Canis lupus familiaris: one gene and its partner. The protein of the gene in region 1 purifies or fractionates together with the protein of each later gene. This does not show direct contact. Links are inferred from orthologs where the notes say so. Each region holds a gene or a part of one and is shown in the gene's direction. Other genes may lie near its edges. The genes, in order: ANKRD17 and HOXB6.

The links.
Region 2: the proteins of ANKRD17 (region 1) and HOXB6 purify together in Homo sapiens (co-immunoprecipitation; 3 studies listed by BioGRID and IntAct, with this or other methods). This does not show direct contact. The link is inferred for Canis lupus familiaris from reciprocal best matches to the Homo sapiens genes ANKRD17 and HOXB6.

The regions. Positions count from the first base shown.
Region 1 is NC_049234.1:62,954,042-62,956,521, reverse strand, and holds part of ANKRD17 (ankyrin repeat domain-containing protein 17), read left to right. Parts: intron 1-191; coding exon 192-440; intron 441-935; coding exon 936-1,114; intron 1,115-1,534; coding exon 1,535-1,699; intron 1,700-2,480.
Region 2 is NC_049230.1:24,810,814-24,815,206, reverse strand, and holds the start of HOXB6 (homeobox protein Hox-B6), read left to right. Parts: upstream 1-1,421; 5' UTR 1,422-3,021; coding exon 3,022-3,436; intron 3,437-4,393. UniProt on the Homo sapiens protein: Sequence-specific transcription factor which is part of a developmental regulatory system that provides cells with specific positional identities on the anterior-posterior axis.

The DNA.
Region 1 (2,480 bases):
TGAATCAAATTAAGAAATGATTTTGAAGTCATGGAACTTAACTTTAATATGCATAATTTTAAGCATTATTCTCATATTTCACTTTTCCTCAGAGAACACCTATTTAAAGTGTCCTCAGAATGTAAGATTTAGTTTTAGAAAATTATATCCTCTATAGATGACCTGTATATTTCAAAATATTTTTTCTCTAGATTCTCCTGCACAGTCTGTATCCTCTGGAGTTCGTGCACCGTCTCCTGCCCCATCATCAGTACCTTTAGGGTCAGAAAAGCCCAGCAATGTCTCTCAGGACAGAAAAGTTCCAGTCCCTATTGGGACGGAACGTTCTGCACGTATCAGGCAAACTGGAACTTCAGCTCCATCTGTTATTGGGAGTAATTTATCTACATCAGTAGGGCATAGCGGCATCTGGTCCTTTGAAGGGATTGGTGGCAATCAAGGTAAGACATGCTATCCTGCCTACTAGAAATTAAGTATATGCATTTAACTAAAATATTGTAAGTAATAAGAACAGTCATTCTTAAAAGATCTGTATTCATATCTCTTAGTTTTCACTAACCAGTTTTGAGTTCAAGCCAATTTTTGTAATGTGATCTCCTGTTGAATTTTTAATTGTTTTCTGAAAATTATCTAATGCAAGTATATTCCTTCTTTCATTTCATCATATTAAGGAGATGCTAATTTTCCTTTTGGACTCTTTATCTTATGGCTTTTTTTCTTTTTAAAACAATATTTAGGTTATTTTATTAGACTACTATATCACTACCTACACACAAGGGAAATACTGCAGTAAATATATAAAATCAGTCATTATTCTGAAGGAATGTACAATTCAATGTGGAAAATTCTAGATAGAAATATACAAAATATTTTGCTATCTTCTGGTTTTAAAGATCACCAGCTATCTTTTTTTTTGCCTTGTTATTTTTCCTTAGACAAAGTAGACTGGTGTAACCCTGGTATGGGAAATCCTATGATTCATAGGCCAATGTCCGATCCAGGAGTGTTTTCACAGCATCAAGCAATGGAGCGAGAGAGTACAGGAATTGTAACTCCTTCTGGTACATTCCATCAGCATGTTCCTGCAGGATACATGGACTTTCCTAAAGTTGGGGTAATGGTGACTTAAATGGTGACTTTCATATTTCTGAATGTTTTTCTTCTTATTAGCTTCATTTTCCTTACAAGTGGATGAGTACTTGTTGAAATGATTTGCAGGCTTTAGCCTGTGATTGTAGGCCAAAATCTGGCTAAAATAGAATTATTGGTATATTGGAATATTTATATTGTGGGATATTTATATCCCACTTGTTTAGAGAAATGTTTTTTGGTCAAATATTTTGGCTATAGTAGGCCAAAAGAAAAAAGAAATCACATAATGGAAAATAATTTTTAGATAACCTAGATAATATACTTTTCAAAATAAGATGCAGTTTCAAATATAATTTTTAAGGCTATCAGTTATATTGGAAAAAGTAAGCAGTGACTTGGAGATACAACTATGTGCCTAATTTTTGTTTTCTCCTCTTTTAAGGGTATGCCTTTCTCTGTGTATGGGAATGCAATGATTCCTCCAGTAGCACCTATTCCTGATGGTGCTGGAGGACCCATATTTAATGGCCCTCATGCTGCAGACCCCTCTTGGAACTCCCTAATAAAGATGGTTTCAAGCTCCACAGAAAATAATGGCCCTCAAACGGTAAGTCTGATCATTCAGTGAACATTTCTTTAGTGTTTTTGAGATCCCAAGACAAATAAGACACAGATAAATCATGGTAGTGAGGAAGTATGGTGAATATAGGTAGTTGAGGAAATTTAGTATAGCTGAAATACAACAGAAGGATATGGAAAATAGTACCAAAGGTAGTGGTTGGAGCTAAAATTATAAAAGGTGTATTTCATTGGGACCAGATGGTAAGTAAAAAATATTTTAAATTACAAAGTGTAATTTTATACATCAAAATTTACTAGTGCTGTTAAAAGGGCCATCTAGGGGTTATTTATTATTAGTAGTATTATAAATGTCAGAAAGCCAAAAACTCACAGAAATGCTTAGTATATTTTAGCTTATTTTGGTGTCTGTTTAATATCTTTGACTCCTATTCCTTTAGTCATCAGTCTATATGTGTTGAGGTAATGGTTTTTAAAAAGCGATGATAAGGGTAGCTCCGGTGGCTCAGCGGTTTAGCGCCGCCTTCAGCCCAGGGCATGATCCTGGATACCTGGGATCAAGTCCCATGTCGGGCTTCCTGTATGGAGCCTGCTTCTCCCTCTGCCTGTGTTTCTGCCTCCCTCTCTCTCTCTCTCTCTCTCTCTCTCTCTCTCTCTCTCTCTGTCTGTCTCTTATGAATGAATGAATGAATAAATAAATGAATAAATAAATGAATGAATGATGATAAATCAGATCCTGTTTGAGAAATAAGCAACTCAGGAAAACAAAAGTGACTTATCTTTGTTTTTCTTCATTGTTGCTAAGTATG
Region 2 (4,393 bases), on another chromosome or scaffold:
GGGGGGAGCTTTGTAGCTGAGAGAAAATGAGAAGCTTGGACAGTGTCTCAATCCCCCCTCCTCTCTGTACACATCCAGGCAAAATCCCTTCCTGAGGTTACCAGTACAGGAGAATTTTAGTCATGAGCTGAACACAACTTGGACATTTCCCTGGGAGATGAAAATGCGTGCACATCCACAGGAGCTCATATTCACAGCATAGAAAATTACAATTATAAATTCTGCCTGTGGGGTTTCTGTACAGTCCTTCTGTTGTGTACTCAAGACTTGGTACACATTTATGTTCACCTCTCTATCTACACACTTTCTCCATGAGGCTGAGAGAGACACCCCGGACTGGCAGACAGCTGTGCCTGCTGGGTATTTACATATTCCCCGTTGGAGACAGACGGACGGCAGTGGACCGAACTACAGACAAATTCGTAGAGATCTGGCTCCAGAAACCAGGCGGCCTCTGGCCGGGCCCTGCCCGTCTGCTCTTTCTCCCAAACAAACGGATCAGACGAATAAACGCTCATAAATACCTCTGGGCTTAGATAAGAGCGATGAGGCGCTATTTCCTTTCATGCCGGACTCCAGGCGCCCAGGCCCTGCCTTGGCGGCTCCATCTCACGACAGGCAACCTGCAGAGGTGAGGTTAATTTGGGGCTGTGACTCTAAGGATCAAGCAGTTATTTTAGTGCTTCTCATGCCCTTCCTTATGGCATCCTACTTAGTCCAGATTCTGTAGCAAAGCCCATACTGTCCAGTTCTAGGAAGAGGGCATTGTGGTCAGGGAGGAGGCAGGATGGTTGTGGTCCAAGGCCCAAGGTCTGTGGCAGAGAGGAGGGAGGTGCAGACTGGCACTCTCCTGATCTTGCCCCTCCCCTAGACCAAATGTTCTCCATTCCTCTCTAGGAATGGGCCCAATTACAGCTAGACTGGGGCACTTAGGATTCATCATTAGGATGCTTGAGTTTTCTTAAATCTTGATAACACCTCCTTAGAGTTTGACTAGGAAGTGGTTGGTGGGACATGCAGGGATAACTACTCGGCCATGAATTTATAGCCTAGAAGTTGTCCTGAGTTCAGGAAGCCTTGCAGGCCACTTTGCAATCAACCAGCTTCCTACTCTCGGGTCACCAACCTCAGCCCTCTACCACTTTAACTCGTGTCTCGTGCCATCTTCAGTGGACAAAAATCTGGCCCACAAGAAGGAGCCCAAAGGACAAGGCAGAGGAGAGTCAGCCTGGCCCCTTTATCATCAGATTTTGCCACACATTCTGGCTCATTTCGGAACCCAGGTCTGAAGGTTATCTCCCTTTAATGCCTGGCCTCCACATGCATAGTTAGATTGTTGAAAATATATTATGGTTCAGTCTTCCAGCTTGGCTTCAATGCTCATTTTCCTTACATGGTGGGGGGGGGGAGGGAGGGAGGGAGAAGGAGGGAGGGAGAAGGAGAGAGAGGGAAAGAGAGAGAGAGAGAGAAATGAACGGAGATGGGCACTCTTTCTCACATCCTAGCTTGTGCAGCAGCAAAGCTGGTGATACAAATATGAGATGTGGGAGGGACTGGAGGGATCCTGAGAGGCGGACAGAAGGGGGTTCGGGCTGATGGTTGTAAGCTGCCTGCTGAGTCCCCAGGAGGACCTGGACAGCTCTCCCTCCTTAGAAAACTAAACCCAAACCAATTATTGAGAAAGAATTCATTTTCAAAAGAACTGCCAGCTTCTAGAGAGACCTGGAAAAGGAGCAAGGGCCTTTCTCTTTCCGGTTGTCTTTGATTGTCTCAAAAATCAGGAAATTTTGAGGACCCAGAATTGGAGGAAGAACATTTTCTTCCCTGTGCCCAGGGGTACTGAGACATCTTTGATCCCTAAGAATCTGTAGCCCAGGATATTCTAGTGATTTGGGGCGTAGGGGGTGGGATGGAGCGAGGGTGGCAGGCAGGATCCCTATCCTAGACAAACCTAGGCTGGGGGATGCCCCTCACTCCTACTCTCCCTATGCCCCCAGCAAGCGGAAGAGAAGGCTAGCTAGTCCCTTTCCCCAGTGTCCCTTCAGGGGCCAAGAACAAGCATCACATGCTCCAACCAGGCAGGATGTCTTGGGCAGCTGAAGCAGCAGCAGCAGCAGCAGCCTTCCAAGAAGCTCCTAGTCTAGCCTCGCCTAACCTAGCCACAGAGCCAGAGGGAGAAGCTTGGGCTCAGACTCTCCTCCCATTTCCCAACCTCCTGGGTTCTCTGGGCAGCAGGCTCTGGCCTGCCCTTCAGCCGGTAAGAGCTGTGAAGAAGCAAGAATTATAAACCCAGGCTTGGAGGAGGCAGAGGAGAACTGAGAAACAGGAAAAACAGTTTTCAAAACCTGGGAAGGAGAGTGTTTCTTCTTCTTCGCCTCCCCTGAAAGCGATGCTAAATAGTGAACTCTTCTCTCCTACCTACAGAAAACCCTAGAAACAAGTCTTTCCCTTTGGTTCTCTCGTCACCACGCAGAGAGGGACGTTTAGGCACCCTTCCCTTGAGGGAAGGGGTCCAAGCAACGCAGGGGTTAACTTTTCTGAAAACACAATTAACTTTTTCCTATCCTGCGTGGGGAGGGGAGGGATATATTTATTTAATCACTGGGGGATGGGGTGGTCTCAATCCAAATGCTCCCTCCTCCCTCCAAGACACAGACGCCTCTTTCGCAGATCCTACGTAGGTGGAACAGGACGCGTTGTGTTGTTGGGGGGAGAGAGAGAGAGAGAGAGAGAAACGAGAAGAAGAAGGAGGAAAAAAAAAAGGTTGATAGGTTTGTGCGCGGGTCCCTCGCGCGGGCTGCGCTCCTCCTGGGTGCTATTTGACAATTCCTGCCTCTGCCATTGGTCAGTGTTGGATCAGATGGTTGTATTTCCTTCTGGCCCTCACTGGCACCTCGCCATCCCCCCTCAGCTAAAACCCAATCTCAGATATACTACTAATAGGCGCGGCGCTCGGACTATAAAACACAACAAATCATAAACCCGGCGGAGCAGCAGCGGCCGAGCGCGCCTCCCCTCCCAATGAGTTCCTATTTTGTGAACTCCACCTTCCCCGTCACTCTGGCCAGCGGGCAGGAGTCCTTCCTGGGCCAGCTACCGCTCTACTCGTCGGGCTATGCGGACCCGCTGAGGCACTACCCCGCGCCCTACGGGCCCGGGCCCGGTCAGGACAAGGGCTTTGCCGCTTCCTCCTATTACCCGCCCGCGGGCGGCGGCTACGGCCGAGCGGCGCCCTGCGACTACGGGCCGGCGCCGGCCTTCTACCGCGAGAAGGAGTCGGCCTGCGCGCTCTCGGGCGCGGAAGAGCCGCCCCGGTTCCACCCCGAGCCGCGGAAGTCCGACTGTGCGCAGGACAAGAGCGTGTTCGGCGAGGCCGAAGAGCAGAAGTGCTCCACTCCGGTCTACCCGTGGATGCAGCGGATGAATTCGTGCAACAGTGAGTGAGCCCTCCCGCGGTCCCCCACCCCCCGGGGCAGAAGTAGCGCGCCCCCCACCCCCGGCAGCCCCCAGGGTGCCGGCTGGGCATCTCAGTTAGGAGCTAAGGGAAGCCGGGGCGCCCGTCCCGGGTCTCCCGCTCTGTCCTCTCGCCCTCAGGAGTTACAAAGTTTGCAAAGTCCCAGCCGCACTGGGAACCAGGGGGAGCGAGTGGGCTCTCCCGGAGCGCCGCGCCAGAGCGCGATTCCGGGGCCCGGGGCCGGGGAGGGGGCAGGGGCCGCAGCCACTGGCGTGGCTTTCCCTCGCGCACCCCCCCCCGCCCCAGCCCTGGTCGGGTCCCCCCACCCGAAGACGGTTCCATTAAAAACGGAGTGCGTCATGGGAAGGGGGGCGTCGTGACGCTGGCGAGGGAGAGTGCAGTCTGTCCGGGACTGTGTTTCCCTGGGGGTTCGGGGCCGGGGAATGAGGAGGCACCAGGAAAGGGGTGGTAGTCAGAGGAGGGAGGGAGAATGAGGGGGAAGAACGGGAGAGGCAGCAGGCGGAGGGGGAGAGAGGGAGAAGCAGGCGCCTGGGTCTCAGGTTGGATTATTTGTCGGCCTTAAGTCCCAAATTGATGTCCATTAGTGGGACACGAAAGTGAGGAGCCGTTAATGCCGACTGTGGATCGATCCACGTCATTACGGATTAAGGGCTGGAATCTATCACAGGGTGGTGGGGAAGCCAGATAGATGGAAAGAAAAGATAAGGCTAGGAAGAGACACACCTGGCCGTGCTTCCCCGGCCCCTCCCCACTAGGCTCAGGTGGGATTTTTAAACTCGCCTCCCATCCCCCCACCAAAGGTCTAGACCAGAGAGGCACGGGCTTGGGAGGCCCAGAGGGAATCTGGAGGGGGCGCTGGAGGAGTGAGGAAGGGGGTGGGTGGGCAGGAAACTCGAAGAGTGGAGGGCATCCCGGGAC